Coturnix japonica: one gene and its partners. The protein of the gene in region 4 interacts with the protein of the main gene of each other region in a pairwise test. Links are inferred from orthologs where the notes say so. Each region holds a gene or a part of one and is shown on either strand. Other genes may lie near its edges. The genes, in order: WDR25, EAF2, EAF1, PSME3 and TNFAIP8L1.

Region 1 (5,571 bases), on a different chromosome or scaffold from region 4:
AACAAAAAAGTCTTATAAAACAAATGGCTTGGTATATTCATAGAACCATAGAATGGCGTGGGTTAAAAGGGACCACAATGATCACCTAGTTTCAACCCTCCTGCTATGTGCAGGGTCACCAACAACCAGACCTGGCTGCCCAGAGCCACATCCAGCCTGGTCTTGAAGGCCTCCAGGGATGGGGCATCCACAACCTCCTCAGGCAACCTGTGCCAGTGCATTACCACTCACTATGTGAAAAATTTCCTCCTAATATCTAACCTAAACCTCCTCTGTCTCAGTTTAAGACCATTCCCCATTGTCCTATCACTATCCACCCTAGTAAACAGCCATTCCCTCTCCTGTTTATATGCTCCCTTCAATTACTGGCAGGCCACAATGAGGTCTCCCCAGAGCCTTCTCTTCTCCAAGCTAAACAAGTCCAGCTCCTTCAACATTTCCTCATAGGAGAGGTGCTTCATGTAACACTACTACATCAGATGTATAATATTCTTCTTACTGCTAAAACCATGAATATTCTGAGGAAAAAAAAAAAAACCAAAAAACATATTGTATAACTGTGCTGCATGCTTTACAATATGTCCTTTCCAGCCATCACTGAATTTAAATACTTCTTTGTGTGACAAGTACAGAAAAAAAAATACATTCCTAGAGCACAAAGAGAACCTGGCCTTGATGTGAACAATATTCACAAATTTCCTTAATCACTTTCCCAGTATTCCCAGTTTATTCAATTCTCTGGATACTTCCATACAATTTTCTTCTTAATTCTGTATAAGATAAAACTCTCTTAAATAAAAGTTTCTTGTTATTTTTGTATGGATTTCTTTTGCAGTGTTACACAAAAAAACATTGTACGTTTGCAGAGGTAAATATTTAGAAACAAATTAAGAAGGAAAAACAAAAAAACTGCATCTCTTCAGTAAACCATTTGATGCCTAATCCCACATTACACACACACAGATGTCCTGTTATGAATGGACCCAAGAACACCACTGTATGAATGCTGATAACATAGATAAAGGAGATGTAATGGTAACATAGATAAAGGAGAAGTAATGCTGACAGAATCTATTTGGCTTGTGAAGGAAATGTGAGGAGAAAGACCATTAATTGAAAATTAATTGTTGAGTTCACAATGTTCAAACTCCTAATCAAATTCACAATGCACTTTCAGTCTCAAGTTCCACATCAGAATTATGTTTCTATACCACATATAGAAGGGGTTCTGCAAACAATTTAATGGAAGATAGTGACAGCATAAAAAATACTCAGGTATCATTCTACCTAGTAGTGCAGTAACTAACAACAGAAATTGCATGTGCTCATGAGGTTAGAGACATTCTGGTCTTCTTAAGAATCTCAAACTACCCTTAATTGTGAGAAACTTTTTAATGAAGGACATTTCAAGAATTCTTACCTTGATCTATAGATTCTATGCATGTTTCAAAAGAAAGAGCAAAGCACACAATATCAAAATTTATCTGCATCAAAGGTAACAAATACTGCTAAAGTGTACCAATACGGGGCCTTTACCTGTCTCCACGTCTGTTAGGTGCAGCATGGAATCGAAGCCGCCACTGAGGATCCTTCTTCCACAGGATGACCATTGGGCAGCTCGAACAGCACAGGAATGACAAGAAAATGTCCTCAAACAGCCACCTGTATCTACAGCATCCCATACCTTAAAAAAAAAAAAAAAGGGGGCAACTATAATCATTAAATAGAATAATGTTTTCAGTGTGCTGATAACTAGTTAGAGCAAATCATTTTCTGACTAAGAAAGCTTTGCATTCCAAATGCATATCGGTTAAGCTGTAAATATCTGTTTGAAATAATTGCACGGTTGATTAGAATTAAGGCATTTTATTAACAAGGCATGAATATGTAATGCATTTTCATGACTTACATTATTTCTTGAAACATCTCTACTGCTCTCAGTAGCATTTTGTGTTATAGTTTTCCATCTGTATTTCTGCTCTTCTGTGCATGAATACATCTAAGTACCGTTTCTTCTTAAATCGTTTCTTTCTTTGAAGTTTTTTTTGCTTTTAACAGGCATTTCTAGTGGATTGCAGCTTCCACATCTGCCTATAGATGGGCTATAATCATTTCTCAGTCTTGCAGTTTGTTGCCTTAAGTAGAATTTATCCTTAACTTCACTGAGGAGTCAGATAAGATCACCTTAGAGATATGAAGAAAGAATAGGTCTAAGCCCTCATTTTTCAGTTTATTTTGGACCAAATTAAATCAACGCTCAGCACTTCTGAAAATCCAATTCTAGTAGTTATCTGTTTATTTTTATGTAACAACTAACATCTGAAGAATACAAATAGCTCAATTCATATTTTAAGAAGCATTTTTAAACATAAATTGTTTCCAACTAAGACATTATAGAATACAGAGCTACTAGATGTAATTATAATTTCAATTACTAAATGTGCTTTGCAATAATCAAGAGTTCATCTTTTTTGCCATATTCTTTTGTCATAATTTTTAGCAAAAATTTCACGTTTAGCAACAAATGACCCATGTAAAAATTTGGCATGCTTGCTTTTGTGAGAAAAAGGCTAAATACCCAATTATCTTGATGAATATTGCACTTTGGTAAAAGGTCAGTCATAAAATATCTCACGATCATTTCATAACAGCTGTTATTTGAACTGTCTAATGAAATATATACCAGCTGCTACAACCATACTGGTAAATCCTCAATTTTATTTCTTCTAATATTAGTAGTACAAATAAGTCAATGCTTTGGTAGTACACTTCATGACAGGTTTATTACAGTATCAGTCAGAAAGTAGAACCTAAGGCACTTTATTGCTTTGAAGTCACCATTTTACTTCACTATACTTGTCTTGGTGGTTAGTCATTTCCACCCTCCAAAAACTAGCATATTTTAAATAACACTGATTATGAGCTTTGAAGGTTACTCTGAATTTTGTCTAATCTAATTAGCTAAATTTTAAGATTGTTTATACAATACTTGGAACATAGAAGGCAATTTGAAGAATATCAAGAAGGGGACCTTTTCAATAAATGAGACCAATTTCTACATTTAGATATGTCTACAGAAGTTAGTACTGAATTACAACTGACTACATGCCCGTGCCTTTTAAAATATGTTAAAACAATAACAATTCAGTAAATGAAGGGAAAATAGGTATCTATCTAATAGCATCAACACAGTTCACAGGAAAACATATGCAAGAAAGGAGAAATCAAGACTTCTGGTCATGCATTTTTATTTTGAATTCTTTTTTTACTTTACACTGGACAAAAAGGACTGGCAAAACCATTATTACACTCAGAAGGGAGTGTTACATTATACAGAATTATTTCATCAAAGGATCTTCTAGCACAGACTGTAGTTCTGCAACACAAAGCAATCAAGCAATATTACTTGAATAGTCAGTTAAGACTGTAACTGTGATAACCATAGCCAAAAAAAAGTAAAGAAAACGTAATATTAAGCTGCTTTTGAAAGCAAGTTTCTCTGCTTTAATGAGTTTTAATGATCATTTCAAGCTTCACAGCATTAAAAAGGGTTAATTGTATCTTGGAGGGCTTTTAATACGAAGAAGCTAATGAATGAATCCGGATGAAAGGAAAAACAGGTGTTACATGCCTCAGATATTTTTCTGACAGGTTTCCCTGATTAAGCATGAAAACTCAATTTTCACAAGAAGGATGAATAAAGCAAGTTCTTAGCACTAGCCTGATTGGGAAAAAAGAACAAAAAAAACAAACACTGTATAAATGAGAAAAGCACAGCCTTAAAACTGCACATTTCTCCCCATTTTGTGAAAGAGAACTGATTAACTCACATGGATGAGACTACCAACCACATACTAGTGGAAAGTCACTCAATATCATATTTCTCCCTTCAAGTATATTCTCTCTCAGATCCTTCCTGCATTACAGCAACATGGACAGGGCAGACTAGACTGAGGATGTTCACTTCATTTACCCATCAACTAACAAACTCCTAATCACTGATTCACACAGTCTTTCAGTATTTAACAAGAGCTGATAAATATGAGAAAAAACAACTTTTTACATGGGTAGACAGTGATAAGACAAGTGGAAATGGGTTAGATTAAACATCTAGGGGGAAATTTATCAGTGAGAAAATGGTGAAGACCTGAAACTGCTGCCCAGAGAGCTGTGGATGCCACATCCCTGAAGGCACTCAAGGCCAGGTTGGATGGGTCCAATGGGTCCCTGGGCAGCCTGAGCTGGTGGGTAGCAACCAGCCCATGGCAGTGGGTTGGAGCTGGATGAGCTTTTAGATACCTTCCAATTCAAGATGTTCAGGTTGGATGGGTCCAATGGGTCCCTGGGCAGCCTGAGCTGGTGGGTAGCAACCAGCCCCTGGCAGTGGGTTGGAGCTGGATGAGCTTTTAGATACCTTCCAATTCAAGATGTTCTACGATGTTTCTATGATTGCCTTTCACATGTCCTCCCAATTGCCCTCATGTGTGTCCTTGCATTATCTGCACATAGCGACTGCCCCCATTCCTAGCAATAGCAGATGGGGCCTTCCTGAAGGAATTTTTCATATCTTTTGTCTGGTGAATGTACCTCAGTCTAACTTTAATACACTAGTGTATGCCCCATTGCATCCACAGAGAGTAATTTCAATTTTTACGTTTCCGTGTTCATTTTCCCAGGACAAGGGAAGCTCTACTTGCTATTTGCAAGAAGTGGTATTTGATATTTACAGTTAGCTCCTCAGCAATCACTTAAGGGACACAGTCATGCCCACAAAATGTCATATAAAGGTGAGCCATTGAAAAATCAAGATACAAAAGCGTGTGTAGTACTGAAAACAAGGCAATTAAAGAACAAGCTTTGCACATTCCACACACACAAGAAATTACCAAAAAGTAAGAACTATGAATGTTTTACTGTAATAAATGTCTCCAATGTGATGAAGACTCTTCTGTGCTTAGAAGCAACAGATACATTAACTGTGCTATGACCACAAATAGAGAACCTACTGCACGTGATTACCAAATTCCATCAAAAGATCATCACAAAGTAGACATCATATTTGCATTCTTAAGTAGTTCTTCATTTCTGCATATGGTTTTTCCACTGCTTTATCAAAAGAAAAGAAAAAATGGGAAAAGGCTTTACTAACAAGAGAATTCTATATACTCCATCAAATGCTTCAGATAATTGCCAGCTCTATAGATGGTGCTTATTCTCTATGGGCAGCCACACACATTAAAAAAGAAGGGAGACTGCTGCAAAGGGATGAATCTTACCTATGCAAGATCACTCCCCTCTGCCAAACACTCAAATGTCAGATTAACAGATTGTCCAGGATGAAAAGTACTTTAGGGCTTTTCTTCCAACTGTCTTAAAGATAGTTAAGTAGTTCAGGAATAATTTATGTGTAAGTTTTTCTAGACTTGCTATCTTTGTTTTATTTATATGCTGGCTGAAGCCAGGATAGAATAACAAGGCTAAAATGAAAGTCTGAAAGAGCTGCAAAACACCCAACATGATGCCTGAATCTGGAATCACATTCTCTAAAGTACCATGGTAAATAATAAACAA
Region 2 (5,571 bases), on a different chromosome or scaffold from region 4:
ACCTAAAGGTTAAACAGCTGTGCTGTAGCTTTAAGTGTATTCACTGAATTGGAAGTAAGTTGTAGGATGACCCTGAAGTGTTGCACACACCGAAAAGCTTTATGTGTATATTGGCAGTGTGAGTTTCCCCTTGGTATTTACTGCAGTAGCACAGTTCTAAAGCAGGAAAGACTGGAAAAGGAAAATTTACTACCTGCCATGCTTTACTGCTCTGCTTATTGGTTACTGAAACCCTTTTGGTAAAAGGAGTCCTACAGTAAGTATGCTGTGATCTGGAAATAAGCTTGAAACTGATTAAATGCTGAAGATGAAATTTCCTTCCAGTCAGTCACCAGCTGCTTTTGGTCACGGTTGAGTCTGGTTTGAAATAACCAATAGTATTTCTCAAGGCTAGAAATGATTGCTTATAATGAATTTGTAATCTCTGTGATGGATTGTTTCCTGTTCATAAGGAGGGAAAAGTACTACTTTGTAACAATTGCTGGGCTCTTCTGATTTACCAGGGCTCCACTCCACCAGTGACAGTGTTCAAGGGCTCAAAGAAGCCTTACCTAAAGGAATGTATCTTAATTATCAATCATGACACTGGAGAATGTCGCCTAGAGAAACTTAGTAGCAACATCACTGTGAAGAAAATCAGGTGGGTAATTTACAAGGTGAACACCTGTCCTCCACTCATTAAGAGAATCTATTTGTTACTGAGTTGAAATTGAGAGATGCTTCAGCCCTTCACTATTTTTATCATAACGCTGTGTTTAGATTGTCTCTGGCTTTGTTCAATAGATTGAAAAGCCTGTGATCTCAACATGCCAACTTGGCTTTGTAGCTTTCAAGTCTTGACCAGCAGAAATCATAGAAAAGTCATTTTTCCTCTACTTTAACTAAAAAGTGGCACATTGTTAAGAGATGGTGACGATTATCTAATGATTATAGAGGGCAAATCTCTTTGGAAAGTAGTTTGCATAATGTCTTCTTCTAATGAGAAAATAGATCAAAAAAATCTCTGTTCTGGTTTCAGTAGTAGCAGTGACTTGTTTTTCCCATACCAAGTTTGTGTTCTTTTGTATTACTGAATCTCCAGAACTTTTTCAGTAGTTATTAGTGAATGGTCCTGGGCAGCCAGGTGTTATAACAAGTCAACTAACACAGAATTCAAAACTTATTGGCTCTGTATTTTAAATGTTACATCCACATCTAATTATATGCTAGTAAGATTAATTAATGTACCTGTAAGTGTAATGATGCTTTTTAGGAAGATATGGCAAGTAATTCCATAACTTGAGGTATAGCATCCCCTGTATTCCTGCTTTTTATCTCATATCCTGTCTTCTGAAGCAATGACAATTTTCTTCTCTTTTTAAACAGAGCTGAAGGAAGCAGTAAGGTCCAGTCTCGTATAGAACAGCAACAGCAGCAAATCCGAAACTCAGCTAAAAATCCAAACAATAAAAATTCCCCACCGAAAGACAAGATGTTTCCACCTTCTCCTATGGATGACATTGAACAAGGTAAACTCCGCTGCTATATGAGCTTTAGAAACTTTGCTCTTAACTAGGATTTTTTGAGAGCAGAGTGTGTTTTTAGTTTGACATTCACTCCAGGAGCTGATTGTATAAGCACTTTGCCCTCATGCTTTGGTTCAAGTGGTAGCAAAGCAGCATTTGAAACTTAACCTTAAAATCAGGTGAATCATTAGGCTTAATGCCACAAGCTATGCTGCTTTTACTCATACACACACACACACACATACACATATATATAAACATATGTTTTCTTCCTGCTGCTTCTATAATCAAGCAGAAAGTAGCCTGTATTATGGTACTGCAACCAGTGTAGTCGCTTCCCATTTTGACACAACTTCTTTTGTTTCTCTGCATTCAGCGAACGTATAGGGTGCAGTGCATTACAACTCAATTTTTGAATTCCCAGATGAGTCTTGTGGAAGATGACATTCAAGTGGGGGTGGGGGGGGAATACAGCAAGTGCCTGCACAAATCACCTCTTGAACAGTGCTACGTGCTGTGTTTGTGAGACACATATTTTGTGTAGTAGCAGGCCTTTTTACTTTTTGGAGGGCAGGGAAAATGGCAGGTGGCCATTACTTGCTACAGGAATGCTGACAGGTGACAGTTTCAATCAGTTGATGTCTATCTCGAAAGATGTTCTGAATTCCTTCAAATAGGTTTTTCAGATGTGTCGCTATAAAGATATACAGAACAGTATCAGAATAGAGCTGGGGTTGCAAAGACAAAGGAAAGCTTGAGTGCAGTGAATGAAATAATACTTTTTCTTGGTGTTCTGTTGCTTTTGGGGAGTGGGAGTGTTGAACACATTGCAAGATAACAAAGTGGCTGCCAAAATATATCAAACTCTTTTGTACTGCCAGTCCAATTTTGAGTGCTACTTAAGAAAATGCAGAATAATTAAGAAACAGGGCTGGAAGGGACCTCATAAGGTTATCTAGTCCATCTTTCTGTCCTAAAGTCAGATTTCTGATGTTTTTTTCTAACTGTGTTCTTCAAGCTTTCTGGTGATGGATTTAGAGTTTTCCCTGGCAGCTTATTCCAGGGCTTTGTTTTCCATATGGTTTATATTCATTGTGTAAGTACAGGCCAGATTACTCCACTGCGTTTAAGTAGCCCTTAATGTCTTAATATACTCAGAAATCTACTATGTCTCACCAGTTCTTTCTTCAAAATGATGCCATCTGGTAGATTCTTTTGTAGAAGTTTTCTAGATCACTAATTCATTGTCACTCTCCTCTAGCAACTTTTCTACTAGTTCAAAATTTTTCCTGCAATATGGTGCCAAAAACCAGTTTCAGCTGAGGTTTTAACCTTGCTGCTCTGAGCAAGAAGGTTGGCTTACTGGCACTGTCTTCATATATGAAGACCAGATAGCATCTTATCTCAACTCAGTGTAATGCTTGTCATTTCTGCTGCAGCATGATACAGTAGAACTGTGTTTAGTGATCCACTGTAACAGGCTCTTCCAAAGTGTTGCCTGCTGAATCATTTTTCATCCCTTGGTTGTGTAACTGACTATTCCTGTTTAAGTGCACTACTTTGAACTTGTTACTACCTTCATTTTCTGGGGCGGGAGGAAGGTCACTCTATATTTCTCCCCCAGTATACATATAGCCCTTCTTCCTCTGTCTGAAAATGCTTCTATTTTTTTAATGAAATTCAGTTGTTTCAGAATTCAGGGCAAAGTTCTCATTCATCAATTTTTGGTACTGTTAATTTTTTTTTAATCAGTAGTCACAAGTGAGAGCAGGGAGGAAGAGGCATAAGTGCACAGGACTTGAGCGCTATATCTTGATTAGCTTACAACCTCAGAAAGGTGGTAGATCAGTCCTTGGCATTTCTCTTCTAGAATGATTTTGAAATATCATCTTGATCTTTCTGCCAGCTGCTTTCTAATTTTTACCTTAGATTTTCTGGCTTATTTTTATGCTGATGTTGTGCATGCTTGCTCTTAGCTGCAGGATTCTTCCAGTTTTTAACCTCTATTTTCCCTTGTGTTTGAGTCAGATTGCAATAAAGGACCGCTTTGGTTCTTCTGTTCTTCCTTGGCATTGAGGTAGTTTGTCCTTGCAGTCATAGCCATGCTGTTTCAGGAACTGCCAGTTTTCCTGAGTGCCTTTTTTCCTTTAGACTGGCTTTTGATAAGGCTGACTGACCTGAACAACTTTTCCTTCAGGCTGACCTTTGATAATGCAGAATTGGAAGCATTCATGGAAGTTTGTGTTGAAGCTTATTCTTTTTATTTTCCTTTCTTGATTTGATTAAGCCTTGAACAATCTTACTTTTTGATCACTTTCATCTTCAGTATTTGATGATGTTGTCCATGTGCATGTTGATTGCATTGCTGAACTGCTGGAAGGTATTTTGAGTGCAGTTACTAACATTTTGTTGCTGACTTACTTCTGTGGTTGTAACTGCAACTTTTAATCAGGTAAAGACATCTTTAGGGAAAATATAAGACTAGCTTGTTACAGAAATTAAAGGCCATGCGAGATGGAATGTGCCCTGTGGAATGTGGGGTTCATGTTCAGTAACCCTTGTTCTAATGCTTGACTTGAAAGGGGAAAAACTGTCCAAGCTCAGGGAGAGGAAAACCACATGACAAACTAGATGTTTGCTTATACCCTTTTCTTTGTTCTGAGGTTTTCTGATTTTTTTTTTTTCCTCTCAGTAATGTGTTGATTTGTGTAACTGATTTTCTTTTTTAAATGACAGTTTTCTTTGTCCCTCTTATACCTCAACCATGATAATGCTAACTGAGAAACATTGTTTGCAGAACTAAAAGCAGAAGCCAGCATGATGGATCAGCTGAGTAGTTCTGATAGTTCATCTGACTCCAAAAGTTCTTCATCCTCTTCATCAAGTAGTGAAAATAGTTCCAGTGATTCTGAAGATGAGGAAGCAAGGCCCACTCTTCCCTTGTCAATGCCATATCTGCAGCCACAGCCTACTGTGTCTGCAGTACCACATCAGGCTGTCCCTGATGAAGATGCCAGTCATAACAGATCCCAGGAGAACAGTGGTCATATGATGAATACACTACGTAAGTACAAAGATGGTTCTTTTCTTAGTATGCAATTCCAGACATCAAGATTCTGAACGGAAACCATATTGTTTTTAAGTATGTCTGTTTTAATTTAAACTGTGGGAGGCAATGCTAAGGTTTGGTTGTTCAGCCAAAGTCTGAATTAGATGGTAGGCTGGAAGGCTTTTGGTCCCAAGAGATACTAAATTAAAGCTGTTGCAGTTCTGAGTTGTTCTGGCTTCCTCCCAGTTATATACATTGAGACTGCAGAACAGTGATTTTGTAATGAAAGTACTTGAACTTACAGGGTACTCTCAAAACATGTAATTTTTTGGTTAGAACTATGGGAAAGATACCACACTGACAATACTTTAAATTACAGAAGGGATGGCATATTCTTAGCTACTTCAATTACTATTATTCATGGCACTGTCCCAACTGGACAGCATGGCAAAACTCTCTTTTGCGTGTAAGGAAGGCAGTTGTTTATTTTCAGGTGATACTATCTTATTCCACCAATTCACACAACTAAAAATATCATTTGAAGAGTAGCTGCTGCTGTTCTTCAAGATGTGATTTCCACACAGCTTGGAATATGTTGCGAGTATTGTCCATAAAGGAGAGCTTGGACAGTGGAGGGGGAGAAAATCAGTAGGTAGAGTCTCAAGTTTGCTACTTAAGTAAGAGGGAGTATTCAGATGTAGAAGTTGTTAGCGTTCAGCTGTTTGAAAACAAGTATGCTTTTAAGTAGGCATTTAACTGCAGGCTCACATTATGAAGAGATTTCTATAAAACCCTACTGTACTGCCCAAGATCTTTAAGGCCTATCATCTATATGTAAACTGGTTATATTGAAGTTTCAGACTCTGGCGGGCCTACTTCTATTTCAGCACCTAATAGGTAATGCAAACAGGTTTGGTGGTGGCTTTTTTTTTTTTCCAGTGTTGTTTTTTCTTTTGTAGCAAGTATTGAAATACTTAAATATCTGTGGTTACTTACATACTGTCTGATCAGAGATAA
Region 3 (5,571 bases), on a different chromosome or scaffold from region 4:
CATGAAGCTAGGAAAAAAAATATTTAAAGGGAAAGTGCTTTTGTTCTTGTTTACTTTTCCCCTATGACTTACTGAGCCTTGAACACAGTGAACGCTTATCATTTGAAATGTTAAATAAGGGTTGGTAAGAACAGTGACTTACCAGTGCTAATTTTTACGTGTACCAGACTCCAGCCACAAAATGGATTCTTAAAGCTGGTAAGAGTGTTGGGAAGGGCTGAGGGAGCAAGTCATTACAGTACAAAATAACAGCTTCTGTTGACCTAATGGCATATTTTTCCTCCCTCTTCCAATGGTCTCTCATGCTGTGTCTTAAAGATGAAAAGGTAAATTTTGCCTGGCATACTAATGAAGTGCAAAAACCCCAGCTGACCTAGTCAGGGATCTAGCTTCAGGAAGTAGATTTGAAGAACAACCCCATTATCACTAAATACCCGGCTGGAGTTAGTTATTCTCTTTCAGTATGCTGTCCTTGTCACTAATTCAGGATATCTATACCACTTGAAATTGAGCTCTGAACTTTGAGATTGAAAAGTAGCAGCTTCAAAACGGGCAACAGAAAAGTTAATTTCTGAAACCAGTACCTGCTGAGCTGGGGTAACTCCTGCCAGCAAATAACGTGGAGGCTGAAAACTCAGCTGTTACTCTGAAGTGTTAAGCAGCCCAAGGAAAACTGATCTTCTTTAAAAGAAAGAGTTCCAGTTGCTCAGACTTACTCCTGTGTGGGCTGAAGACGGCAAGAACTTAAACTGTGCCATTTTTACATGAAGGAGGGACTCGCTTTGTAAGCTATGGCTGTGCTGTATCAGGAGGGATGTCCCTAGTTCAGGAGCTGTGTTTTGTCTCAGTCAGAGTAACTCACAAGGCTGGTCTATGGTAAATCACTCCTAGTGTTGGTTCTCCATTTGTTGGGTAGGCTCAATTGTACTTGTGTTGTCTCTTCTTTGTCTCTTCACCCTTTGAGTTCTCCAGAGCAAGCACTGTGTTCTTACCTTGCGGGTGCACAACTGCTGGCACAACGAGAGCCTAAATTTTGATGGTTTCTTATACTTTTTACAAATTTAACAGTGTGGAATGGTTTGTGACTTACCTTAATGTCCGCTTAGTAACTGGTTGTTCAGCCAGCACCAGCTCTTGCTGATGAGGCAGTCGTGGTATTCTACTGTTACTTTACACAGGTAACCATTAATGAGGTGTGAGAGTTGAATAACTTGCCACTTTCAGAGCAGTCCATTTTCCCTGACTACTCGTTAGCTCTATAGCAGGTTAAAGTACTGTCACCACTCCCCAGCGTGTGAAGGTTCTCAGCTGTTCTTGTCTGCCCCACTGCTGAGTTTCTAAATAACAACAACAGAAATGAAGGTTTGATGACACTGAACTTCGCTCTTCTTCAACTGCAACAACTGGGTTGAAAAAATTGTCAGGACTGTTTGTTTTTTCTTTCCCGACTCTCTCTTTTCATTTGAGCTATTTTGCTGTTATAAATTCTACTTGACAAAACGATTGCATTTTCATATTCCTTTCCCAAACTCCACGAGGCTTTACTTGTGGTTCCAACCACATGAATGTCCTTTTATTCCAGAGCTTAGAGCGGAGGTTGAAATCATTGAGCAGATGAGTAGCAGCAGTGGAAGCAGCTCATCGGACTCAGAAAGCTCATCTGGAAGCGAAGATGAAAGCTCTAGCAGTGAGGGGGAAGAGCTGGCACGTGTTTCCCCTTCCCAGCCACCTCACCAGCAGTATAACAATAGGAATGCTGTTGCTAACGGCACCAGCAGGCCACAAGGAAGCAATCAGCTCATGAACACGCTCAGTAAGTAAAGGCTTCTGTCTGTCTTATTACTCTGGGAAGCTGCTTGGGATCACTTACTTTGTATGTTAAGCTTGCTCCGTGAAGTACACTTGGCCTAACAGTAATCCCAGGGAGGTGCGCTGGCTGAAGTATGTGGACAGATAGGGGGGTTTAAGAGAAGGCTGAGATGTGTCTGAAGCTGTGAAGATTGCTTCAGTCTGATCTAAAACCTTTGGGCATCAGCACGGTGACCTGTGTTGACCATGCTGAGTCTCAATTCAGGCCTCCGAGTGGAAAGAGTGGACAGCAGAGCGTTAGTTCAGGTGGATATGGTGCACCATATGATGATGAGAATTATTTTAATGTGAAAACACAGATTAGGCTTTATTCTGGGTCAGGTTCAGTGGAGTTAAAATACTGCATTTACAAGAAACTGCAACTTATTTATTGTAATTTGTTTTTAATTTCTCCTGAGGCAAGCTTGAGTACATCTCTTGGAATCCACACAGAGGGAACTGTGTAGTTCAAATGCAGATAAATGTAGAGTTTCCAGCTTCAGAAAGGGAAGTTCGGCTTTTATACAGATGATACTGAAGAGGCTTGCAGGAAAATTGGCAAAGCCAGTCAGTGTTCTTGACAGTAGTGGATGCCTGAGGTGAAACTTGGGTGAAAACCAAAGTTCAGCAAAGTCAGCAGGACTCTTTCCATGTCCCTGTTTTTGTTTGTGAGCTGCCTCTTCCCTGCTCCTTTTGGGCCAAGGCTGCAATACTGCATAGGTCACTGAATTTCTGGAAGTCTCTAACCCGTGTAGGATTTGGGAGCTGTTAAGGTAGCTCCTTTTTTTCATGCAGTGATTGCTGCTCTGATTAATATGACCTCGAGTATTCAAGTCACTGGTGACCATAACTCAAATTTCCCCAAAAGAGGAAAGCAGGTGAAGAAATCCAGGGTGTAGCTGTTGCGAGGCTGCTTTGCAGAGGACTTGTGTTTGGGACAGCGTCTTGGAAGAGTGCCCATAGGACTGGATTCAGTAACCAGAACTTGAGCATGATTATTGCACACTTTTACCCCATCCACCTCCCCAGATTACAAGTGGTCTGCAAGACAGGCTCAAAGACTGTATGTTTGATCCACTTCCAGTCAGTCCTTCCTGTGTTGGATCTCTCTTTGCGCTTTGGAGGGCTGCCCTTGGCCTTCCTTAACCTTCACGCCCTGTATCAGCTGATTTCAGCCAATAGCTTTGAGCTGCAATGGCTCTAACATTTTTTCTGGCCTGCTGACATGTGGAGGCCTTACACTGGCTACCCAAACTGCCTTAAAACAAAGAAGTCTATTTTAATAAAGTCAATTAAGCCAGGGAATTCCTCAGTGCCTGGTCCTAGAGCTGTATACAGGAGTTTGGTGGGTGGAGGCTGTGGAGTGCCTTCTGCAGCTGCTAGCAGAGGGAGTGCTGTCTTCCCTCTGGGGAGCAGACCAGGTGGTTCTGTTGGACCTGGATCAGGCTTCGTATGAGCCCTGTGCGGTTCTTAATGCTCTTGGGCATGGGGAACAAGAGATGACGTTTGCATTCAGTTCTTATGCTTATTTATATCTTCTAGTGTACACGTGGCTGTACTTTGCTTTGATTGCAATTAAATGTGCCTACACACTTCTTGTGTTCTGTTGTTTCTGTTTCCCATAGGAAATGACTTGCAGTTGAGTGAATCTGGGAGTGACAGTGATGACTAGAGGCTGAGATTTTTCCTGCTTCTCTTACATATACATGAAGAACTAATTTACCTTGAAGTGATCATATCGCTTACAAAGAGGATCTGGCACAGGAATTCTTCCATGTGTGGAATTTTAATAGAAGGAATGTGTAACTCTGTAAAATATCAGATGTTGAGGGCTGTTTTACCTTGCAAATTGAGTGTATATTTTGTGTATATTCTTATTCTTGAAAAGCTTTACATAGGTATGTACAGTGGGTAAGCCAGTATGTGCCCCTATGTTCTTATCTGTTCATTATTTGTAAGCTTAACGTGTAACTTCATCATGTCATCTGAAAATTTCTTGTTTGTAGGAGATATTCAGTCCATAGTGGAAGATATTCAGCCCATTGTGTCTCTGTTGGGGGGCTTTTGTAATATAGGGTGAGCATGAACCAACAGTGAGTATTAAAAAAAACCCAACCATGCAGAACCTACAGTGTGCACTGAAGTGGGACTGTTAAAAATTAAGCTTCAACGCTAAGTTGATTTATTTGATTTGGGACTTTTCTAATGTGTTTTTATTGCTATTTATGATTGATTTAATGGACATAACTTTTCAATAGTTGGAAAGGAGAAATTATAAAACCATGTTTGTCACAAACCTTGCTGCACCAGTGCCTTATAAGCAGGTCTTTAAATGGAGCTTCCTGCCACCTCTCATATAGGGAGCAATACTGAAACCTCTTCAGATTGCTTTTACAAAGAAGAGCTATGTTTCACATACAGGTCGGCTGTGCTCTGAGGGCAGTTAATCTAGCAAGATATAGGATATATGTCAGTCACCTGAGCACATCCGAGTCAGAACCAGATCAGCATTTTCTCATGCAACTGAAGCATCTAATTTTATTCAGATATTCAGTCCTAGAAATATATAGGAGCACAATTGCCAATGAAACTGCAGTGTCACAAATAGGAGATAATGGACTTGCTGAAATGGTCAGACCCAGGGCCTTGTTTGCAGTTTCCTAAAGGATGCAGAAAAAGGAGACGACAAAGCAACTGTGGAACAGCACAACTCTCTCTCCCACCACAGCTGTCCAGGTAGACTTTAGTCCGTACTATTTGTTGGACGGGATCTCCGTGCTTGGCAGAATTACACAGAACAAGAAATGTTTGCTTACCATGAAATTCACCCCTGTTTAAGGGGGTTTAAATGGTGCTCAGCTGGATTATCATTAACTTTTTGCTCCGATGGAAATGAGTTCCGGGGCAGCCTCTTAATCTTGAGCACAAGGCTAACTTTTTAAACCCCAAATTCAAGTGATATATGCTGAGCGACCCTGCAGTTGTGGTGTAATCCAGTTGGAACTTAGACTGGATCGGATGTCTCTCCATTCTTAAATGTCTGCTTTGCACTGCTTTTGTCTGATAGTTTGTGTTGTAACTCCTGTTTGTTTACCGAGCTCTTTCCTTTTATTTTTAAGGTATTGAAGAGCAGGGTGTCATTGGAAGGGAGATTTTATTAAATGGTTTATTTTAATTTTTTTTTGCATTCAATACGTATTTAGGCATATTTTTGCATTATTGTACATAACGTTTAAAAAAATAATTGTTTTTTTTAAAGTGTTTTATGATGTGGGTACATATTTTAACATACAATTATGAAATATACTTGATGTAAAGCAACAGCTGATGTGATTCATTTGGTGTCTTGTGGTTTTTTTCCCCCTGTTCTTCTTCTGTGAGTAAATGTGCTCTGCTCGAACAAGCTTCTGCCAGCCTGAGGTTTTACATTGGTGAGGGAGACCCGCATGCTAGTTGGCAGTGTAACCAGTACTAATTCTGCTCCTGACATCCCAGCTTGAGACTGGGATGAGGAGGGAGGCGTTTCTGTTACCATTTCCCCATTACTGGCACTTATTGCTGAGTTCCGCTGGTGTTACTGCTTGTGCTTAAATGGAAAAGCAGCAGTGCAACGTTTTCATTGCCTCATTCATTGGCTGCACGTACACTCTAAAATCCAGGACACGTCATAGGAAGTTTACTAATTATATATGAACAAAATACGTGGAACTTAAGAGGATAAGA
Region 4 (6,027 bases):
CCAAAAGGACCCTGAAGCAACTTAAAGCCAGCCCAGAATTTTGAAGATGACGCATCTCACTAATAGCAGCATGACTTGTTCATGAGCTGCTCGGTACACAAAACTCTGCCCACAACATTTCCCCAGTCTGATTAGCCCATGACTCTTCCATACCTATCATGGAGAATTCACATCATACCAGCTTATTTTGGCTTACACGGATGCTTTTAAGCACTGCTTGTCAGTGCAACATGTCAAGGAAAGTGCCAGTATCTCCCAAACAAAACACAGTGGCTGGGAGTTTGCTGTGCTTTGCTCACATAGAAAGGTAGAGCTGGCAAAAATAGTCCCTGGAATTTATAGAAACCAAAGCACAGACAGGCCGTCTTTTGTGTCAGTGACTGCCAAGCAGCTGGTAAAGAGTATAAACATGCAAACACACAATAAAAATTCTTGCCAGCCTTTCTGACATGGGTACACCTCAAGCAGACCCCAACCTGAACTTCAAACTCTAGAAAACTCCCACTCTCCCAACGTGCACATTCAGCTTGTGTAAAACAGACTGCTGGAAATTGCTTGACACTTACTCATGCTGGCTGCGTTTCTGGCAAGTGTTTTTGTCTGAACACAACTGCTGTGCTCTTCTTCTTCCAAAGTTCTAACCTCCTCTGCAAACACAAGCAGGGGTGTCCCAAGAAGCTGTGAATTAGAGCCCTGATAGCTGACACTTCTCTGGGAAAGCAGAGCAGAAACCACCATGCCAAAGGGTGAGGATCACAGACAATAAACCCTCCCCTGCTCCTGTGCATGAAACATGCTCCTCACCAACACCTGTCAGCACAGCAGTCCTGGACGCTCCATCCTTCCACAGGACTGTTGTGTAGGGCTGCTGGGGGCTCCCTTTCTCCTGGCCATATCAAGGTAGACCCCTTCTGCCATACAGCACTGAGCAGTGCCAACAGCAGACTTTCCAGCAATAGCTCCAGCCTCCTCAGCCCCAGGGACCTGTGCTGTCATTTCCTTACCCATCTTCACCAAGAGGTGTGGGCACCATCAGTATTTTCCCACTCCACAGGAAGCACCTCGCAGCCAATGGCCCAGCAGGAGGCAGAATGCAGCTGAGCAGCAGCTGCCGCTTGTGCTTCTTCTTGGTGGCTGAAGACTTTTGAGGACAGGTTGGCCAGGTCTCACCCGGCCTCCCAGCACTTCTCAGGCTGGATCACAGCCCCCACCTAGTGGCAACCAAGCTGTAAGAGACACAGCCTCCCTGTCACAGAGCAGAACAGGCTGGACACCAGCAGCTCCCAGACAGGGTGCTGGGGAATGAATGGCACTTGGCTGAACACCGCTGAGCAGGTCCCTGCAGCCCAGGCTGCATGCCACATGTGCTGAGGAACAGGAATGAGAACAAAAGCACGCCTCTGGGTAACGCTGAGGATGCTTTAGCCCATGTCCCCTTTGTACTGCATGCACAGTAACATCAAGAGAGTAATGGACCATGCACTGAATACACGTGTCAGGTACAACATTCAGATGCATGTCCTATGACACTGCACACATCTGCTCTGCACAGATGCAAGAGCAGCCGTGGAGTGGGTTGCAGCTCTTAGAACACCATCATGCAAATCAGTTGTACCTGAGTGAGCCAAGATGGCCTGAGTACAACACAAAAGGCAAGAACAGGGCAGATCTCATCAAATTCAAGCCCTTGTGCTTAATATAAAGTATGCTGAAGGAACAGAAACAATCTACAAAGCAGCACACACATAGCAGTATCAAGTCAAAAAGAATGAGGAGAACGAATGGAAGGAACCACTGGATGTGTGAAATGCACGACCGAGAACAGACACCAACACTGCAGAGCTCAGTATCACAGACAAGGGGCTGTCTTAAAAGAATTCAAAGTACCTTATTTTAATTTCTTGACATGGTAAAAGTTTACATACTTTCATCTGGCAAGGAGAGCTCAACAAATTAAAATAAATCAATACAAAGAAACACAAGGGGGAGTGCTGCTCCAGGACAGCAGCTACAACGCAGTTGGTTTGTTACAGAATATTTATTAGCGGGAAGACTAAGAGTTGACTTACTACAAACAACAACAGAAGAGTCTACAGCAAGGGCTGGTGGCCCTCCACACTCTGGGGAAATCCCTAGGAAACCAGCAAGAGACAACATGGCTCTTAGAGGTGGAAGCAGAAAAAAAATAGTTTTAAAAAAAAAAAAAAAGGAGAGAAATTTCATTCCATTTGTCACTGTTGTTACAATGAAGTTAACACAACTATTAAGGCTACTGCACAATAAGAATATATGGGTGTAACAACAAGACCTGGGAAACAGTGAGGTTCCAGAAATAAATGATTTAACATTCCCTGAATATGGGACTTAAGTAGAAATATTATAAATAAAAAATTTGGAGCCTGCAGCATTATGGGATCACTTCCCACACACAAAAACTGACGCAACACAACCAATCATTTCCAAAGGGGTTTGTAATGGACCATGAAATGTTCCAGCAGCTTAGAGGAGTCAATAGGCACACAAGGGTGCTCTTTTGCAGGGGAAAGAATACAAGGTTTGCAACGGTACCAGGTAGGAATTGGCCATCCTCACCCCAAGCACTATTGTCACAGCTGGCCTGCTGCGCCTGGACAGCAGGAAGCACTGCCAGGAGAAAGCAGGTTGCAGTCTGACCACACATGGAAGCTATCAGGAGTTTAGCATCACACCTCTGGCTCCTCCTTTCTCAGCCTGGGCAAAAGCAGCTCATACCAAGGAGGCATGAAGACTCCCATGAAGTTGGTTTTAACCAAGAAAGTGGCTCTAGTCAATTTGCAGACTGGAGCAGAAGCCATATGCGCTCACAACCAGCCAGTACAGCAATCAGCCCTAGTGACAAGCACAACCTTCAGCTCTGCATTGACCCGCTCAGAACCAAGGCAGAGACAGATGGGCCACGCTCTACTGAGTCAAAAAAGCCACAAAACGATTACAGGCCTCTCAGTGGCACTGCAACGTGGCTGTGGCCACCAACCCAGAAGGGGCAGGATCCTCTGTCTTTGCAAATAAGTCAGTGCAGAGCATAGGCAGAGGGGCTCAGCTGCAGCCAGCAGTGAAGAGAGCTGGCTTTCAGCCACTGCACCACCATCCAGGCTTAGTCTTGAGCTGAAGATGGTCTGCCCCATTCACAGAGACCACAGAGAAGTCTCCAGCCAAGAGATGGGACAAGACAAGGGCCTGATCTCTACTGTAGCTCCTACTCAGGTAGGAAGAAAGGCATGAAGGAATGTTCCTGCCTGGCTGGCGCTCTGCTCTCACTCTGCAGTAGCCTCTAGGGCATCCCAAAGCAGCAAGGCCTTTTTCTTTACCAGATATACTAGAGGGAGGGAGAGCTCCTGAGACCTGAATAAAACCAATCACAAAACTAGGTGATAATTTCTTTAGATTTTAACTAAGAATGCAAAACTATTTCCAGCCAGTTTCCCATCTCGATAGTCATGTAACAAACCAAGGCAATGACGGTCTTTAGTTGACTGAACAGTTCTCAAGTTCAAACGTTGACACTTAATAAAGGGTCTCAGCATTGCTGCTCCGAGGCCTCTTGATCTTCTCAATGTTTTTAAGGATCATGTCATGCAAAGTGACCTGCAAAAAGGGAGAACACAACTCAGAAATGAAGGGGGGATGTCACTTAGCATTCAGGTTTCACAACCACTGACTTGAACAGTTTCACAGCTCATCCTGGTACTACTTTCAACCCCTGCCTGCAATCACATTTCTGCTTAAAATAAGTGCTTTCTTCCGCAACACTTTAGAGAAGCTAATGTGTGCAATACAAAAAAGAGAAGACATCAAAAGAATGGTCTGTACTGCCTGAAGAATTTAGGATTGCAGCAGCGCTCCTAGAGCAGTGTACTGAATATTTTGCACTCAGCTCCCATGAATACTCAAGTTGGAAACATCCACATCTCTGGGAGATGGTGGGGAGCCAATAAACACTTAGCTCTTGTTAGAGCCAAAGCAGACTGGGGAAAAGATAGGCTTCTCTCCAGGACTAGCTGTAATCATAGGGAAAGAGGAGAGCAGTAGAAGGATCAAAAGGACTCTTTCTATTATGTGGGGAGCCAGTGAGAGCTCTGTTTTTTCACTTACATATTGATTCCTCAGCTCTGAAATGATCAGGCGCAGACTAATATACTCCTTCTCATCAATCTCTGTCACTGTGCGCCGGTAGTCCTCCTGCAGAAAACAGATGCATGGCTAAGAGGCCTGAGCTCAGGTGTGCTTGATACATGGTATCAACTGAAGGTCCTACCTTTTACAAAGGAATCCCCCCTTTCAGTTTCCTCTTCTCTAATGAAGATATTCTGCATATTCTTATATAGCCCCCCCTTTTCCCACAGGGCCCCTAGCTCAAAATTAAGACAGTGATGAAGTAGCCTGAAGAGTCCCAGAAAGCAACAGCATGTAAACTGTAAAGCACCACTTCCCCATTTACTTACCACATGAGGGTATTTAGCTATTTTGGAAACCAACTTGGCTCTTGTGATATAATATCTGTTAGGAAAATGGAGACTACAAATCAGACAAACAGTACCAAGATTCTTCCAGGCACAATCTGCCCCAGCAAAGCTGGAGGACCTTCCCCAAAAGGTTCCTTTTCCCAGCAGCACTCCCAGAAAGGGCTCTGTTCCTTCATACCTAGAAATCTGGTCCAGATAGGATGCTGCCTCACTCTCCACAGTTCGAAGTTCAGCAACTGTTTCCTCCTGCAAAGGAAGCCTTTTCATGATACTGAAACTGCCCATCGCCGCTCTAGAAGTACCAGGTCGTAGCAGTTCCATGTCAAGCTTAGATTTGGATCTTAAAACCTAAACCAACTCCACCACTGCAGACATTGGATACCATCAAATGATTTGGAAGAAACCTAAAGGTACATGCTCTTGGGGGCATAGTTCCCTGCCACAGTAGGGCATACAGCCTGTCAGTGGTTTACAGGCTGGTTCAGCCCGGTTCCGTAACTAGCAGGGCAGCAGTACACACAGACCCACACCCTGGGAAAGGGAAAAGGGAAAAAAGGGGAGAAGGGTAGAGAGATGGGCCTTAAAAGAAAACAGCAACAGTCTGATGAGAAACAAACTAATTTACTACATCAGATATCAAAATGCAAGATAACACACTATAATACAAGACCACAACATAGCCAACAATATCTTACCTGAATAGAAACACCAAAGTTGTTTCCATCTTCTATCCTGGGAATTAGAAGTTGCACCCACATTTTGACCTGCAATAGAAAGATCACTATATAGATCACTGTCAAGATTTTTACAGGATTCATACCACTGTCATTTATAAAATACAGAGGAACCTGCTCCTTTTCTCAGAGAACCTTCACACAAGCAAAGGAGCAAAAGTATTCTAGTGCCCCCATCTGCTCCAGAACTCAGGGCTGTGGCCCACACCCACCGTATTACACTTCTCGATAAGCAGCCTGATCTCTGGTTTCACTTTCTCAATGATGTCCACCAGCTGCTGGTTGCTCTTCAGCATCCCATTGGGCATCACAAATACTTTGGTACCTACAGTGGCAAAGAAGACAAATACATCAGCCCCACGTGGGAACAGGTACACCAGAAGATCAGACCAAATGTCCACCTGAGCATTATGTCTCCTACAAAGGCTAGCAGTGGACACTGAGCCAGGATACAGCTAACCTGTGAGGAAGGGGGAAATTGGGCATGGGATAGCCATGATTGCCACAGAGGAAAGAAGACAGAAAATACAGAGCTTAGATGAGAACTGGAGAGCTCCAGCCTGCTGAGCCTAGGTACAAGGATTTTCCTGACACACGTGTAAGAAATGATTCTGCCTCAGCTTAATCCAAAGCTTGAGGTCTTCCTCCAGATGTAAAAAGCTTTTAGAACTGATCCACAGGGAGGCCAGCTGCTCCTGTCAGCAGGCTAAGCCTAAGCAACTACTACTTATGTCGATCAGAGAAATCCAAATCCTGCTACTTCCAAGAGCTGGAACCTGACTCCTCCACAA
Region 5 (6,325 bases), on a different chromosome or scaffold from region 4:
CAGAAGTGACAAAGAACAGATGCTGCTTTCACAGAACTCACTGAGTGCCAATGGTCCCGCACAGACAGTACTGCCAGAGCTGAGCCCATGTCCTGGGCTCAACACACAGCCCCAGCCACTGTCCCAGGCCGTGAGCCCCTCTGCTGGCACTGGGCTTTGTGCCCTGAATGCACCCAGTGCTGATGTATGCGGAGCAGGAGCACTGCCTGTATAAATAGAAATTCCCACGCCTGAGCTCTTTGTTGGGCAGCCACAGGCAATGAGCAAAAGCAAACTCCACCTATAGAGCCATGAAAAAAAAAAAAAAGAGGAAGCGCACACTCCTCCAAAATACTCAACTACAGTCACAGGCTTTGCTTCAGCATTGGTCTTGGGGGGAAATAAGGATGCAATCAGCTCCCAGTGGGAGATGTTATGGAATGGGGCTTTTTCCTGCTGGAAGGGTCCTGCTGACCTCTGGTTCCATTGTTGGCAGAGGGGCTGTTGCCACTATCAGTGCACGGAAGAGTCTGCTTTGCCCCACGGAGCAGTCTGCAGACTGAAATAAACCACCAGATTTCCTTCCTGTCGCTCAAGTCTGCAGCCCTACGCTGGGCTTGTTTTTTTCCTTCTACTTTTTAGTGAAAACGCCCTTGAAACAGGGTCTTCCACTGAAAGAGCAGCACTGCTGCATACTGAGCCTTGCTCTGTAAGGGCATGGTGCAGTGTGGCCCTGGCAATGAATGATGACTTTGCACACAGACACTGTAATTTCTTTGGGCTTTTTTCCACCCATTTTGCAGGAATCTGAACCCAACTGAGAAAAGCAGAGCTCCCTGGGAGCTCTGCAGATCCCAGTGGGACTTGAAGGCATGGCCACACCATGGGGCTCAGCTGAAGGCTGCAACATCTACACAGTGTTCTATGCCTGGACATCCTGTGGGAGCTGCCAACGTGATTCTCCAATGATCCCCAAAGCACTGCAAGGCTGGGCAGGTTCCTGTTTCATCTCAGGGCTTCAGCTGAGCACTGAAAACTGCTCAACTGCAGTAGCAGAAAAAGACCTGGAGATACAGGAGCAGGAGGTACAGGAATGGGGTGGAGGAAGGAGAAAACTGTCTGTGAGTAGGGATGAAAATCTCATCCATAGAGGGAATAAAAACCCCTTTAAGGGGGCCAGGGGGGTCCCAGTCTCACACCTGACACTCACCACCCTATGCTGGTGTCCATCTGGGTGCCAATCACCAGGTGTCTACAGCACTTCACAACGTGGCCCTGCTGCACTCCTGGCAGCCCCACAGCAGCTCCCATGGCAGCAGGATGAATATTTGATGCGGGAATGCAAAACACACTTCAATAATGCATGAGGCAGTGTGGAGCAAGCATGCAGAAAGGAGGGCTTGAGCTAAGAGCTCCTCCACCTCACAGCCAACTTCCATTCCCTCCAACACTGTCCTAAGGGCAGCACCACCATCTCCTATTAGGGCCAATGCTAAAAGTCAATGTTTCAGGGTCACCATCTCCCTGGTCCCCGCATTGTGTGTCCCATACTCTCCCACTGCCACTCAGGGAGATGCACACACTGCGCCGCACTGCTGCTCTGCTCTGCCCTATCACTTTCCCTTGCCAACCATCAAGTGCCCAACCAACATTAATTAATTAAACTTCGCTGCTGCACCAGATCGCGGGAGAAGGGCCAGAGCCACTGGGGTGTAACTGGAGCCTGACCCCACAGTGCTCAGCCCCCCCAGCCACATGCTGGGTGGCACAGAAGGGAGCTGGCACCTTTGGTTGTCACTGGTGTGTGTATGTGTGTTGCCATAGGAGCATGTAGCCCTGCAGGTGCAGTGCAGGGTGAGGCCAGAGGGGAATTACCTCACAGCACGGGGAAAACCTTATGACCCAACAGGGTGAGCAGGAGCACTGTGAGGGCAGGGAACAAAGAACACTGTGGGGGTAAACCCTGAGCCTTATGCAGTGCCTCACTTGGTTGCTGCATGGCCCTGCTCTGCTGTTTTGGGACCCACTGTTGAGTTCTGGGCCATGACCCCCTTTCCCTGAGCAATGCAGCAGCAACACAGCAGTGCACAGGGCTGCTCCAGCACTGCTCACGGCCCCATGCCATCCTGCTGGTGGCTGTGCTGGGGTCAGGAGCACAAGCCCAGTTCCTCAGCAGCAAAAAAAAAAAAAAAAAAAAAAAAAAGGGAAGAGACGACCCAAGATGACAAAATGCCTTTGGGGGTTTTCAAACTTTTATAACCTGAAGTCTGCCCAGGAGAAAGTGTCTTGTCCATCCCTGCAGCACAGCATAGTGGTACACACAGGACGCAGTCACCTTGGTACCAAGGGGCCAAAGGCAGCACAGAAGGCCTGAGGGATGGAGCGAGCTAGACTGCAGACAGAGTCATTGCAGCACCCTGCCTGCACCCAGCACTGCTCATCCTGGTGCCCCCTGACACCCAATAGGATAGAAGCCAGGAACTACCTGGAGGAGTTGGCTCCTCTGCAACAAGCCCAGCATCCCCAAGCAGCCTGCAGGGCTGGGAAACACCTGACTTGGTCCCAAATATGAATGGGCACCTGGGAACCCTCGTGTGTCCAGCAGCCCAAATGTGCCCATGCACGGAACTGGGTGAAGGACTCCCACTACCAGCCCCAGCCTCACACATAGGTGGGGAAAGGGCTCCCATAGTGCTCCCTTCCCTGGGGACATGGCCACAGGTGCTGCATGGGAACAGCTGCTGGCACCTGGAAGGGGCCCTTGGGGAAAGCACCCCTATGCCATGCTTGGGGACTGAGTGGTGCCATCACGCCCAGGGGCCTAGCAGCTGCAGCAGCAGGAGGAGGAGGAAGGGGTTATTTTGGTTCATCCATCTCACCTTCTATTTCCTCCTTCCCTTATCAGGCAGCCAACGATTGCTCTCTCCTGTGGCAACTTCCTTTCTTCCTCACCCGTAGCAGACAGAGGCTCAGGAGAGAGATGGGGAAGTGCAAAGCAGAGGGGGAAGCAGCAGTGCCGAGGCTGCACAGCACAGCACACACTTCCTGCCCTTGGGAGGCTGCAGCAGGGGCAAAGCGAAGTAAAGTTTTGCAGATAGACTTTATCCTGATGGAGGCAGTCCTGTAACGGGGCCATTGCTGCAGCCTTCCTCTAGCGACACTGTGCTTCGGGTCACAACACAATGTTTGCAGAACCCTAAAAACCTCTTGGTGTGTTCTGCAGCAGTCAGGGAGATTGCACCTCACACTAGGGTGGGATCCTCCCAGCCTCAGAGATCCACCTATGGTGCTGTGGGGGCTCTAAGCCCCTGGGAGCTGTGGTGCCCCACAGGCACCCCACACGTGCAGATTGGGGCTGCTGCAGAGTGGATGCCATATAGGGCAGCACGGCCCCACTTGCGCAGCACAGAACAGCATATCACATCCTTCCTGGAGCCGCTTCTCCCCTTTGCAGCCCCTGGTTCACAAACCCTAACGCCCTGCAGGAGGATGGGCTCCAAAGCACACTCCTTCAGCAGCGACAGTGAAGCCCTCTCCATTGCCGTTCTCCCACATTTTACCCAGAGGGGAAGCTGAGGCACAGCCCCACACAAGACCCAGCCGCCCCATCAACACGTCCCACCAAACCGCGGCCCCCAGACCCACACTCGTTCCCCGGGACCCCTCCCGGACCTCCCGCTTCCCGCACTTTGCCAGCACGCAGCTCCGGGGCAGCTCGGAGCCGTTCCGCTCTCAGGCGCAGAGCTCCATCCTCCTTCCACCCCCACCGCGCTCAGAGGCGCAGGGGGAGCTGCTGGAGCTGCTGCCGGTCCCGCCGCTCCCGGCCGGAGAGCACAGAGCCGCGGTCAGGGTAGAACCTCTCCCGCGGGGCCGAAAACAGGGACAGCGAGCCCCGCGCCTGCAGCCCTTACCTGCACCGGGGCCACAAGGGCTCCTCCGGTGGGACGGGGTGTTGATTTTCCCCGGGGCTTCTTCGTGCCCGGACACAGCGGCGCTGTACCGGTGCTCGGTAAAGCCGCCGTGCCCGGTGCTCCGGGCTGCTCCGGACCGAGCGGGGCCGAGCGCGGCTGCGGTGGAGGCGGTGCCCACCGGCGGTGCTGGCCAATGGTGATGCGGGGCTTGCTACGAAGCTGCCAATAGGAGAGGGGCGGGGGAGTACCGAGGGGGCGGGCGCCGGGCGCTTTCCTCTCGCCCCGGGGTCACCGGCGCCGAGCACGGGACGGGCGACCCCTCCCCGGTGCGCTGCGGGGCTGCCCCGCCCCGGCTGGAGCCCGGCAGGCGGGTACCCGAGGGCGGCTCCGTCCGCTGCTGTCGTTCCGGTGCCGCTGAGCTCCCGCCCGATAGCGCCGAGCGAAACCGCCCCCGGGAAATCCCGCACTCTGTGGCCGCGCTCCGACTCAGCGGGTTTGGGGGTGGAGTGCCTCTGCCGCCGCTCGGTGGTGCCGCCCGCCAGAAGGGGTCAGTCTGCGCTCCGCTCCCGTCCCGTCCCCTCTCCTCCATCCCGCTGTTCCCCTCCATCCTGCCCCCCATCATTCCACCGCTGCCTTCTATCCCATCCCGGCCCCTTCATCCCTTCCGACCCCTCGAAGCAGCCGCTGCGCAGGATCCTAATTCTGAAAGGTGGCATTAAAAGCACTAAAGGCAGGATTTAGAGCAAATTAAAGTCTGGATTAAACAGACTTGAATTTGCCGATAGTTTCATGCAGCAGCTGGGAAGTTAAACAGTTCCTTCCTTCCTCTGCAGCTCCTGCTCCATGGGAGTGCTCCAACAGACTTTGTCTTCTACGGGGGGCCCTCCAGGGAAGTTATATCCACTCTAAATCTCCCCTCATTTAGTCTGAAACCATTTCCCCTTGTCCTCTGCTAGAGTCTGTCTCCTCTCTTACAGCTCCTTCAGGTCCTGATAATCTGCTCATTCCCAGAGCTTTCTCTTCTCCATGCTGCACAGCCCCAGCTCTCAGCCTGTCCTCATAAGGAGGTGTTCCCTTGGGAACCTTTTCGTGACCCTCCTCTGGTAATACTCCAACAAGTCTGAGTCCCTCCTGAGCTGAGGACTCCACATCAGGAGGCAGTGCTCCAGATAAGGTTTCGCAGTGCAGAAGGGGAACATCCCCTCCTTCACCCACTGCCCATGACTGTGGAACTCCTCCACCCTCCAACCCAGGCTGGAGCTGAACAAACCGAGCCAAGGGTACAGCGCACCCCACCCCATGATGCCCTCCCTCTGCCCATGCACCCCAGGAGCTGCTCTCAGCCCCACCATCTGTTGCTGCTCTCCTGAGCAGTTGCAGCCCCAAGCTGCCTGGCGTCAACCCCTCTCCTGAGCTCATCTGATCCTCTTGTCCACTCACAGGGAGCAGGCACAAACTGTTCACTGGGAGCAGCACATGAAAGATAAGGGTGCAGGGACAGCTCTTTTGTCCCCATTGCTGCCCCATACTGGATCCCCAGTGTTGGCTCACCCCATGCTGACATGCTCACAGTATGGCAGTGTGCTGAGCCATTCCCAGTGGCACAGGGCACTTAAGAGGCTTCCCTGGGTGCTTGGTGTGCCAGCCCAGGCCCTAGTGCCTTGCACCTAAGCCTGTGTTCCAGGATTGCCTGTTTGCCCCAAGCCACCTGAGAGGCTTCCCTGTGTCCAGGCCTGCACAGCCAGTCTTCCAAGGTTATGCTCCTGGACACCTAAAACTGAAAAGCCTTTGCTGCATGTATCTGTGGCATGCTGGATATTCTGGGACATCACTTTCGACCTCTTCCTGTTTCTCTAACTTGTATTCATTTTATACAATACACTGACAAAAAAACTACACAGACTCCAAAGACTACTTTGTGTTCCCTCAGCCATAAGGGATAATGGCAAACACAGTGATTTCTATACTGACAGCCATGTGCGATGCTGCATTCAGTTGCATGGTGGTTCTTCATACTGAGAACACTGCTTAGAGCAATGTTTTTTCTTTACACTTTGCTGGGAGTTATTCATGTCCAGGAAAGGACAAACTGCAGGGCTGCTCTTCTTGTTGCCGCTGTACTTCTGATTGTTGGAAACACCCAGATCACTGACCAGGATGCTATCTGTGATCAAGCAGCTTTGATTGGCAATTGCAATGGCAGGTCCCCTGCAAGCAGGAGAGCATGCAGAAAGCAGCGTTGCATCTTTTAGGCCCTGTTACCCAACGCTGATCTCTTTCTCCCCTGGTTTCTCACTGGCTGACTACTTTAGGTTCACAATCTCCCTGAGGCTCAGCTACACATAGGGATACTGGGTAAGCATACATTTTTGCTAGCTGATAAGTTATTCTAACACTTGTTCACTCAACATTTGGTCATTGTTTCTGGACTCCTG

Evidence for each region.
Region 1: the proteins of PSME3 (region 4) and WDR25 interact in binary tests that used the Homo sapiens proteins (3 or more experiments, as listed by UniProt). The two-hybrid records come from large-scale screens. The link is inferred for Coturnix japonica from reciprocal best matches to the Homo sapiens genes PSME3 and WDR25.
Region 2: the proteins of PSME3 (region 4) and EAF2 interact in binary tests that used the Homo sapiens proteins (3 or more experiments, as listed by UniProt). The two-hybrid records come from large-scale screens. The link is inferred for Coturnix japonica from reciprocal best matches to the Homo sapiens genes PSME3 and EAF2.
Region 3: the proteins of PSME3 (region 4) and EAF1 interact in binary tests that used the Homo sapiens proteins (3 or more experiments, as listed by UniProt). The two-hybrid records come from large-scale screens. The link is inferred for Coturnix japonica from reciprocal best matches to the Homo sapiens genes PSME3 and EAF1.
Region 5: the proteins of PSME3 (region 4) and TNFAIP8L1 interact in binary tests that used the Homo sapiens proteins (3 or more experiments, as listed by UniProt). The two-hybrid records come from large-scale screens. The link is inferred for Coturnix japonica from reciprocal best matches to the Homo sapiens genes PSME3 and TNFAIP8L1.

What each region holds. Positions count from the first base shown.
Region 1 is NC_029520.1:44,215,056-44,220,626, reverse strand, and holds part of WDR25 (WD repeat-containing protein 25), read right to left. Parts: intron 1,685-5,571; coding exon 1,537-1,684; intron 1-1,536.
Region 2 is NC_029522.1:20,654,808-20,660,378, reverse strand, and holds part of EAF2 (ELL-associated factor 2), read left to right. Parts: intron 1-503; coding exon 504-640; intron 641-1,365; coding exon 1,366-1,508; intron 1,509-4,302; coding exon 4,303-4,569; intron 4,570-5,571. UniProt on the Homo sapiens protein: Acts as a transcriptional transactivator of TCEA1 elongation activity. Acts as a transcriptional transactivator of ELL and ELL2 elongation activities. Potent inducer of apoptosis in prostatic and non-prostatic cell lines.
Region 3 is NC_029517.1:38,104,894-38,110,464, reverse strand, and holds the end of EAF1 (ELL-associated factor 1), read left to right. Parts: intron 1-1,582; coding exon 1,583-1,813; intron 1,814-3,473; coding exon 3,474-3,520; 3' UTR 3,521-5,185; downstream 5,186-5,571. UniProt on the Homo sapiens protein: Acts as a transcriptional transactivator of ELL and ELL2 elongation activities.
Region 4 is NC_029542.1:4,666,347-4,672,373, reverse strand, and holds the end of PSME3 (proteasome activator complex subunit 3), read right to left. Parts: intron 5,562-6,027; coding exon 5,449-5,561; intron 5,267-5,448; coding exon 5,198-5,266; intron 4,749-5,197; coding exon 4,681-4,748; intron 4,537-4,680; coding exon 4,482-4,536; intron 4,219-4,481; coding exon 4,132-4,218; intron 3,625-4,131; coding exon 3,544-3,624; 3' UTR 1,869-3,543; downstream 1-1,868. UniProt on the Homo sapiens protein: Subunit of the 11S REG-gamma (also called PA28-gamma) proteasome regulator, a doughnut-shaped homoheptamer which associates with the proteasome. 11S REG-gamma activates the trypsin-like catalytic subunit of the proteasome but inhibits the chymotrypsin-like and postglutamyl-preferring (PGPH) subunits.
Region 5 is NC_029543.1:4,002,244-4,008,568, forward strand, and holds the start of TNFAIP8L1 (tumor necrosis factor alpha-induced protein 8-like protein 1), read right to left. Parts: upstream 4,080-6,325; 5' UTR 3,891-4,079; intron 1-3,890. UniProt on the Homo sapiens protein: Acts as a negative regulator of mTOR activity.